Arabidopsis thaliana: one gene and its partner. The protein of the gene in region 1 interacts with the protein of each later gene in a pairwise test. Each region holds a gene or a part of one and is shown on either strand. Other genes may lie near its edges.

Evidence for each region.
Region 2: the proteins of AT5G19680 (region 1) and TOPP8 interact in a two-hybrid assay, tested with the Arabidopsis thaliana proteins (one large-scale study listed by BioGRID).

What each region holds. Positions count from the first base shown.
Region 1 is NC_003076.8:6,647,304-6,652,573, reverse strand, and holds AT5G19680 (Leucine-rich repeat (LRR) family protein), read right to left. Parts: upstream 3,001-5,270; 5' UTR 2,912-3,000; coding exon 2,642-2,911; intron 2,415-2,641; coding exon 2,184-2,414; intron 2,102-2,183; coding exon 1,955-2,101; intron 1,867-1,954; coding exon 1,724-1,866; intron 1,640-1,723; coding exon 1,525-1,639; intron 1,091-1,524; coding exon 1,010-1,090; 3' UTR 528-1,009; downstream 1-527. Other genes in the region: AT5G19675 (uncharacterized protein), read left to right, coding at 3,258-3,350, 3,379-3,498; AT5G19670 (Exostosin family protein), read right to left, coding at 3,216-3,884, 3,972-4,320, 4,647-4,777, 4,866-5,270. UniProt on the Arabidopsis thaliana protein: Inhibitor of protein-phosphatase 1 (PP1). Binds to and inhibits PP1 activity.
Region 2 is NC_003076.8:9,862,124-9,867,123, reverse strand, and holds TOPP8 (Calcineurin-like metallo-phosphoesterase superfamily protein), read left to right. Parts: upstream 1-2,000; 5' UTR 2,001-2,295; coding exon 2,296-2,488; intron 2,489-2,648; coding exon 2,649-3,208; intron 3,209-3,337; coding exon 3,338-3,577; 3' UTR 3,578-3,617; coding exon of another isoform or gene 3,618-3,659; 3' UTR 3,660-3,711; exon of another isoform or gene 3,712-3,789; coding exon of another isoform or gene 3,790-3,813; 3' UTR 3,814-4,201; downstream 4,202-5,000. Other genes in the region: AT5G27830 (folate receptor family protein), read right to left, coding at 4,382-4,517, 4,587-4,909. UniProt on the Arabidopsis thaliana protein: Serine/threonine-protein phosphatase that possesses phosphatase activity toward para-nitrophenyl phosphate (pNPP) in vitro.

The DNA of each region.
Region 1 (5,270 bases):
AGGTCGAAGGGTTTTTGGAGACGCGAAAACTACTATCTCCGGCAAAACAATCTCTCACGGGAATTACATGTTTGAGCTGCGGTAACTAGTAAACAAACGACTGACCCAGCCTTCGTGGAATTAACACATGTCATGTGTTCATTCGCTACAAGTCATCTTAAGCTATATCCGGTTTTCTTGCGTGATGTAAATATCAATCAAATCAAACCGGTGAGCGACTATAAAAGAGAAGTTGACTTTCCAAACCGATGAAATATCAGGTCAACCAAAACCTCAATTCAAAATACCACCATTATTATAAACATTTTCGGTTCAAATCGGTTTAGTATAAACATAGACTACTTCCATTAATATTTTGGTACGTAAGATAATTTAAGGTGATACTTTGCGGCTAACTCTCTAGAGAATGTGATTGCAGAAGTGCAGATCTGTATTGGTGAAATGACTTTTTTCTTTTTCTTTTATACCACTCTTGTACCTTCTTTTATACAGCAAATTTCTTCAGTTCATTAACAAAAAGTACTTCTGTCGGAAAGAAAGATTAGAAGCCCAAAACTTGTAACAAGTTACCAAAAAGTAGTAAAATATGTAATATAGCAACCTTTCAATACTGAACAATCACATGAAACTATAAAGATAAAAAAGCAAGGGGCAAAGTCAAAAATATGGATCAAAGTATTCAAGTTAGTGTTCTCGGTTGAAACTTGAAACAAAGACAACTTCAGACTCGGGGATTCCCTTTTACAGACACAGTCCACATACTATTACAGACCAAAAACAAGAATTGGTTTACTTGCAAGGGAACACTAGAATTTCAAAAACGTTTTAATAAATATCCATGACGAGAGCGATTTAATTTGCTCATTTGCACTTCTTTATGATAAACAGCAGACACATGTATATTTTGAGGAATCCGTGTTGTACCTGATTTCCTAAATTCGATGCCCATGCCCATGGGATGAGGAAGCAGACATTCATACAAACAGCACGACAAGGAATATATCCATCTCTAAGCAAATAAGTTAGAATCAATTTGCTCCACATTCGGGAAGATTTGTCTGACCGCAGCAACATAATCAGAAGACTTGGCCTGAGAGGAGATGGACAACAGAAAATGATACACTTATATTAGATAACGTTTAATGGCTCTCAGTAAAATAATTACTTTTCACATCTTCTGAGCCAAAGAAATTGATAATTTATAGAAGACACTGGGACTCACCCAAATAAATGAATTGACTTATGCAAAAAACTACAACCAAGTTGTGGTACTCAAGTTTACTTAAATGCATAAGAAACTTTATAGAAAAACCCAAGGTTTCTTATGCATTATCAATATATACGGAAAAAAAATAATCTAAATTACGATGCACATTGAACAAGACCAGCAATGGGATCACTCTGTGTACCATTAAATTGACATTCCATATCAAAAAGCAAAAGCAAAACCAAAGATAGGAGATCCTACGATACTGAGTGACAAGACTTTGATGAAAAGTGACTAAAGATTATGATTAAACTTACACAAGGGTTATTTTCGAGGTAGATAGTGGTAAGCTTCTCTTTAGATCCTGTAACAGCTTCTGTGATTGCTTCCAGTGATTCTATCTGGTTGTCATTAAGCCACAAATCTTCCAACCTATAGGTTAAGTTAAAGTCAGGATGGAGAAAATAAATCACCAAAAGACAAAAATCGGTCTGAAGCAAGGGAAAGGTGAAATACTTTGTGAGGTTCTGAATGTCATCAACTGAAGTAAGCTTGTTGTTCGACACGTCCAATACCCGTAGGTTGACCAATGCACTCAAGCCTTCCATTTTGGAGATACCATTATGGCTCAAATATAACTCTTCAAGAGCAACACATTCCTGGGTACATAATATTTCAAGCATCAGAAGAAATAAAAATGCTGGCATGAGGAATGAGTATATCTGCAGAAAGGTAAATGAAGCACACCTCAAATCCTTTCATAGAGGTCAATCGATTGCTCTGCAAGCTAATCTTTTTTATGCATTTGAGCCCACACAGGTTAACAACTTTGATACGGTTTCTTCCGAGCCATAGTTCTTCTAATTTTGTGAAGTTTTCCAGATTTTCCATCACCTGAAACCTCAATGCTTTCAAATTCATTGCTGAAGCACTGTAAAGAGAATAAAAAAATATCAAAGAGGAGGGAGGGACAAACCCGCAATCTATTAGACCCCAGTTCAAGAATCTGCAAGTTGTGTAAGTGTTCAATCTCCATAATCTTGTTAACTTCATTTTTAGACACATAGAGTTCCTTCAGTGTGCTAGAGGCCTTGGATATTCCTTCCAAAGAAGTGATTTCATTGAAAGATATGTCGTAAACCAAAAGCTTCGTGAATATGCTGACATCTGGTACTTTCGCTAGCTTGTTATCTCTGAGAACTAACTCCTGCATAAATTATAGCAAGAAACACTCTTCTTTATCCACTGCCCACAAATAACTATGCCTCTCAGACTATCAATGCCAATTTTCAATTCTAGTGAAAATCAAAAGTGAAATGCAAAAGGCAATTAGCCAAAATCATAACGTTCCACGGCCAAAAACAAAATCAGATGCCTAGATATTTCACCATTTACAAAATCACTCAAAAGATAAATCAGAGAGTCGAGAATCACCTCGAGATCGGACAAGGCGTCCCAGTGAGACAACGGTTCGACGGCGGAATCATCAATTAGGTTTTGGCGGAGAGAAAGCTTCTTAAGCGTGGAGAGCTGAGCGATCCTCGAGTCCAATCCCGACAAACGGTTCGCCGTAAGGTCCAGCTCAATCAGGTTCGGCGGTAACTCGACCGTATCGAGACTGTGGAGCTGATAGCTAGTGAGATCGAGAACATTATTCGAATCGCCGATCTCTTCCAATGGCTCGTCTTCCTTCTCACTGTTCATGGTTTTTTTGGTTCAAGCTCGCGCGATGACGACAACGAGCTTTGTGGGGAACTGGTCTAAACTCTAAAGCGAAGTTCTCTTAAACTTAAACGTCAACGTTTCAGGCACACTTGTAACATTGTTGCCTGTAGGGTTGTTATGGTGGGCCTGAAAACCTATGAATAGGCCCAACATCAAGTCGAATTAGAACAAAATTATGAGTCAATATTTACAAAGGTAGAGTCAACTTTGTAGCTATTCATTACTCACACAACAAACAAGCACATTGGGTCTAAACTTTCACCATCAGCACTCCATAGTAACATCATCTACGCTTTGCTTGGAACACTCTGTTATACCAAATAGAATGCAAAACCATATGAAACAGATCATATTTCTCAGGTTTAGCATGCCACAGAAAGTGCCTTTGCGCCTTTCTCACCGCCATTTGCATCTTCACGTATTTGTCTTCTGGTATTGATAACAAGATATCTTTCAACCTCGGGATGTCTTTCTCCGCAACAATGACCGAGAACGCACTCCAATCAAGAACCTCGAAGAAAGGTGGCACAAAGTTGTCGGAGATGATCACAGGGACACACTCATAGAAAATCGATTCAACCACCCTCGGGCTGTTGACTTCGTACCCTTTAGGACAAATGCAGTACTTGCTGCTTTTCATCTGCTCGATGTAATTCATCTTGCTCGCCACACCAAATGGCATTCGCCCGAAGATTTTCATGTCCGGGTCTTTGTCTTTCCAATGCTGTAGCAGAATCTGACGTAAGTAACCGTGCATGCTTCCAGCATAGAAAGCCAGGGTCCGCCTCTGAGACGGCGGTTTTCCACCCAAATCACGAAGCGGATTTTTGGCGGCTCTGACATATGTTTCAGGGAGTGAGATGTCTCTTCCAATCTTAAAGCCTGCGGTTACGTCTGCATTGCATAAAGCTTTAATGCAATGCTCCATGTGGTGCCTAGTCTCATATGGTGCCTGTTAGTGAAGCCAAATTCAACATAGAAAATTGTTACCTATAGAAAAAATGATTAGTTAACTTTAAAAAATGAAACAGATGCCTACCCAATCATGACAAGCAACAAGAAAATGATCGGCTCCATCGGTTCTATTGAAGAAAGGGTACTTGGAACTGATGTGCTCCGTATATTCCTTAAGAAACTGGCGTAGGTTAGTGCGGTTGTGAGAATTACGCACATAAAGTGTGTATTCTAGCATCCGTGCACTAAATGGCATATAGTACAAGTGAGCCTTTCTTGGGTCCTTTACAGTGTACTGCTTGTTTCCTTCCATCAACTTCATGAACCATCCCTCTGATGCATACAATCCCTTGAGTATCGGAGTATGAAAGATGGGGCGGTTCCCTTCCTTATATACGTAAACTTTGAGTATCCGTTCCATAAGTTCGTAACTCCTGAGGCACATAACTGAATCGGATATGTCAAGATTACCTTTTATAAGAAGACACTACCAAACAGAACGAATTTGTGAACTAAACATATAATATGAACTCAGGCTTTCTTTTTCTTTTTACTCTCTTCACAGTACTAAGTTCCGAACAGAAAATTATCTCAACATAGGACCATATGATGCGGATTTTACAGTAGGAGTAGTGCTAAAGTTTCATCCACATAGGACTAATGATACTACTGAGGATTCATCAATTCGTGTATATACCATTACTCTTTTTCATTACCAGCAAATTTAATTCAGAATTAGCTCTAAGTTCTGCACTTTTACCTTTTAAACAGGGAAACATTACGGAATATTGGAGGGTAGAGCTCCCGTTCAAGTTTTGCAACCGGAGCATTCTCTATCTCCTTCCTTGCAGTCAATATCTCCTCATCTCTCCTCGAAGACCAACGCGGTCGCTACATTGGAAGTAGTATATCTCTTAATTGCATCATAACTAAAGTTCCACAGGTGAAAAGAAAATAGAAATGACAGCTGCACACATACCATTGCTCGTGAAGTTCTACGGTGCCTTGCTAATATCCGATTCATCTCATCTATTGTTGTCACAGATTTTGGTGGAAGATCACACCGCATTTTCTTCTTCTTACTTACTTTCTTAGAAACAAGCAAGGAACTATTTCCAGATGCAGGACTAGCAATGGAGGAGCCCCCACTTAAAATAGAGCTTTTGACGTTCTTCTGACTTTGAACCGTCACATTTTGCACCTGATAACCATTATTACTCGTTGAAACACTCTCCTTTTGCATTACAGTAGTCTCTGAAGGAAAAAGATTATCACTGCTTCCAGCAACTTCTTTGATGATGATACTGTCTTTCACATCTTCAAAGCTCTCAAAATCAACATTTCCAACAAACCCTTCATCATCCTCAGACTCATTCCTTAGACC
Region 2 (5,000 bases), 3.2 Mb from region 1:
TTATTTAAACAAAAAACGTTTAGTAAGAACAATATTTATTTAAACAAAAAACTTTGTTTAAAAATATTGTTAACAAAATACTTTTTATGCTAATTTTAAGTGATTGATGTGAAGTTTGTTTGGATTAAATTTGATTGATAATGTGATTGACAATTTAAATTAAGAATTTAAAGTAAAATTAATTATTTTGAAAAAAAGATTTAATGCTAATGACATAGGATTGTAAATAAGTCCAACTCCAAGATTTATTTATTAAAATGGCTGCAAAAATGTATATATAGATATGTGACATAAAATTTTATTTGATGAAAGTAATTTTTTCGTAAAAAATACTAGCGAACACAGTTTCTCAGTGGATCATAAATTTCAAGAACAAAATAGTGAAATACATATGATCTTAATTGTACTTCACTTAAATATTTTACGACTTTCAAACATGTGATATACATACAATAATTAAACAATAATTAAATTCTGCATAAGATATTTGAAGCCAACTGTTGAAGTGGATTAAGAGATATGAAATAATAAAGGCTATAGCACATGCATTGTTGTAACTACACAATTACGCAAAAGTTCTATCATCGAAATTTGAATCTTAGTAATATCTTAATTAGCAAAGAGCATAAATTCTTTTGTTCTTTTTTTTTTTATCCAATTTTTTTTTTCTTACATTTAACCTTTTTTTTTTTACATATTTCACACAATTTGAGTGAGAGGGATAAATCTATTTTAATGTTAACATTTATATGATTTTGAGTTCAAATTTGAATTGCTAATTATCTAACCGTTTTTATTAAATTTATTTTCCTGGAAAAATAAAAATCTTGACCAAAAATCTGTAAAAATAATTTAATAATATTTATGTTGGATTACAAAAAAATAAATATGATTACTATGCTTATATTAAAAATACATAGGAAAAAGAGGTAAGGCACATATATTTGAAAAACAAATCTTAGAAAAAATTATATTGTTATATATATATTCAAGTATATATGAAAATCATTTTCACAAAATGTAAGAAAATAACCATATATCAGTAACGAAAAAATAAAGATGGGAGTTCCATTTGTTTATTTTGTGGAAATTAGAATTGTTTACTTTTGAAACTTTATCAACAAATCTAGAAAATGTTTTGTAGCCATCGAAATCTTTACTATTAGAATTTGAAGTACAAAAATGATATATATAAAAAAGATTGAGACGTATGAATTATCAATACACTTAATCTTACCATCATGTGTACCAATTGAACCTTTAATAAACATAGTTACCTATGACAAAAATGGATTGAAATCCTTACTTACTTCCAAACCTACAAAAATAACACACTGTAGTATTAGATTACCATTCTTTTTCTATACTATGAATCTATGATGCAACTTTTTACTTCTCCATTGTAGAATCTTCTTGACCCCAAATGTGTACATCATCCCACTTCTGAAAATTTAAAAATTATACCATATAAAAGATTGGAAAAACTCATTACATGCTGAGAATTGTGAGCACAAAATGAGGTAAAAATTTAAGAATGTTAATTGGTTTGTGTGTGGTGATATCTTAATGTGTATATAACAAAAATATATTTACTATTTATAATGAAACAAAATGTAATGTATTAATTTTGTAGTTTTCTAGAAGTTCATGTTTGGTCTTCAAGGTTTGTGCATCTCACTTGTAAAAAAAAACCATAAACATAAATTAGGAGTAATTATAAAATTAATGGCCCACTTCAATTTATTTCTATTAATTGACCTAATAAATTATGTGTTGACCTTCTTCTAATACTAAACGTTTCCCCACTTGGAAAAAATAAATTTCAATTATACAAAACAGTAATAAGTAAGATTAATGTATACATATATGAGATTTATACTATTAAAATTTAACAAAATAAAATGAAATGCCAAGTGGACCAATAAAAAATATATGATTGGGTGTATTTGCACTTATATAAATCAATGTAGATTTCTGAAATACTTTCAAAAGTTTTGGATTTCTTATTAAATTTCCCCATTTTATAATTTATTCTTTCGGATTTGTTCTTTTCTTATCTCTTCCATTTTGATAACTTTCCTCCTCTGAATTTTTAAGACAAAATAGATTTCTTCTTCTCTTTGTTTGACCCACATTTTCTCTGGAAAAAATTCGTCTACTTTCTCCGATCGTCTCTTCATTGATCGGAAAACCAACAACGACCCATTATTCCTCTCCTGTTTCTGGCGCAAACCCTTGTAGCAAGTTTTGATTTTGGTGAGAAAATATTTTAGGGATCTGAAGAGAAAGAACACGATGATGACGAGTATGGAAGGGATGGTGGAGAAAGGAGTATTGGATGATATTATAAGAAGATTGTTAGAAGGTAAAGGAGGCAAACAGGTTCAGCTTTCCGAGAGCGAGATTCGTCAACTCTGCTTTAACGCTCGTCAAATCTTCCTCTCTCAACCTAATCTCCTTGATCTCCATGCCCCAATTCGCATCTGCGGTAAATTCTCATGATCGAATCATTAATTAGGGTGAAATTTGAAAAACTAGGGTTTCTTATGAATTTGAGCATTTTGGGGGTGAAATTGCAAAGTTAGGGTTTTTTTTATTTATGAATTTGAGCATTTGGGTATTGAAAGTTATGTTGTGGATTCTCTCAGGTGATATTCATGGTCAATATCAAGATCTTTTGAGGTTGTTTGAATACGGAGGTTATCCTCCTTCAGCAAACTATCTATTCCTTGGTGATTACGTTGACAGAGGCAAACAAAGTCTTGAGACCATATGTTTGCTTCTTGCTTACAAGATACGGTACCCATCGAAGATATATCTGTTGAGAGGGAACCATGAGGATGCTAAGATCAACAGGATTTACGGGTTTTATGACGAGTGCAAACGGAGATTCAATGTACGACTCTGGAAGGTGTTTACTGATTGCTTCAACTGTTTACCTGTAGCTGCACTTATTGATGAGAAGATACTGTGTATGCACGGTGGTTTGTCACCAGATTTGGATAATTTGAATCAGATTCGAGAGATTCAAAGGCCTATTGAGATTCCAGACAGTGGTCTTCTTTGTGATTTACTTTGGTCAGATCCTGATCAGAAGATTGAAGGTTGGGCTGATAGTGATCGAGGTATCTCTTGCACTTTTGGAGCTGATAAAGTCGCTGAGTTCTTGGATAAGAATGATCTTGACCTCATTTGCCGAGGCCATCAGGTAAAACAAACAAGACCTCCTCGAAACCTGTGAAATTGTTCTTGATGGTTTGATTAGCGTTTGTCCATAAAGCTAGAGACTTTTTGAATTCTTACCATATCGGACATGTGTAATGGTTTTGTGATGCAGGTAGTAGAAGACGGGTATGAGTTTTTCGCAAAACGGAGATTAGTCACGATATTCTCAGCTCCAAACTATGGTGGGGAGTTTGACAACGCTGGTGCGTTATTAAGCGTTGACGAGTCTCTTGTATGTTCCTTTGAGATTATGAAACCAGCCCCAGCTTCAAGCAGTCATCCTCTCAAGAAGGTTAGTTTCTACCAAAGATATATAGATTTAAGCCCATCTTATAACACAATTCTTCTGTAAGAACAAACTGAAACTTGAAACCTTCTGAAAAACCTTATAGGACTTTCACAACAGAACCTTAGGTTATAATTTGAGTGCTTAGCATGGACTTCAAAGTGTACAATCTTAAGCAGTGGGAGCACTATTGCAATTTGGTTAGGCCACAAAGAGTTAACGCTCCTTATGTTTCCGCACACGATAACACCTATTTTCTCTACATTTCTCTTTATCAGGTACCGAAGATGGGGAAGTCTTGAATATCTAGTCCTCTCTATGTCAATATCACGGTTCCACAGCTCAAGCTAGGCTCAAGATTCTGAGTGTCATTACAACTGTGTCTGTGTCTCCAATTATGGGTTGAATGCAATGAAGAACCCAAAGGGTACTTACTTAGTCATCAAACAACTTCTGTAAAAAAACAAAAAAAGTGAGAAAACAAAAACACACTTTGTTTTCTTTGTATAGATGCAGAAAATGATCTGTCTTCTGCTTCTGGAGATTTTATCTCCTTATTAGTCTCTCTTTTCTTTCTTCTTTTAGCCCTTTTAGTTTAATATAGTACCACTTAGATTTTTTTTTCTCGGTTATTTTTTTCCTTGTTGTACAAACCCTTTTGCATATCGTCAAGATTCCACATTTTCTTCATTTGTCCATTGCCAAAGTTATATTTTACTTGTCCCTAATTTTATCAGTATAAAAAGACAGAACAGTACAACACACTTCTTGTCGCATTTGGCAAAATTTCACATGAGACAAGCCTTTACTATTGATAACAGTTAAATTCATGGCTTTTACAAACTACTGTAAAATATTCATTCCATAAGCTTAATCAGAGCTTGTTCTTCTATTTATAGCTGCACTGTATGAATCCCCGTTCCCGTTCCCTCTCAATCTTCTAGCGGTCCTCTGAATCGCAGCTAGTCGCTGCTTCTGATTACGGTTATTAGATTGCCTGTAGTACCTAAAGCAAGTGTTAGTATGGTGTTGTTACTTGGAGGTTACTTAAAGAGAGAAGAGAGAAAGGTGAGACCTGATCAAGAACATTCCTGCTATAAGAAACGACATTCCCAAAGAAATTTTCTGAATCGTTGTCATTTCGCGAACCCATTGGAGAAGATCTTTAAAACATGACAAAGTCTCAGTTTTTAAAGGCGTCTCCTTTCGAGAGTCTCTTGACCATGATTCCACTACTGATTCTAGACTTGCTTTGCTTCCGTAGCACGGTTTTTCTCTAGAATCATCATTCCTTTGAACAGCAAAACCAGCTGCTTCACAGAATGATGTGCCATTGGATTCCCAATTTGAGGCCTTAATGCAGATTATGTCGTCGTTTACTCCACAAGGGCCAATCACCTAAGCAGATACTGAAACCATTAGCTTCCAAAAATCTACAGAAAGAAAAAGTCCTATCCTACCATTTGTTTATCAAAATCCTCCAAACACC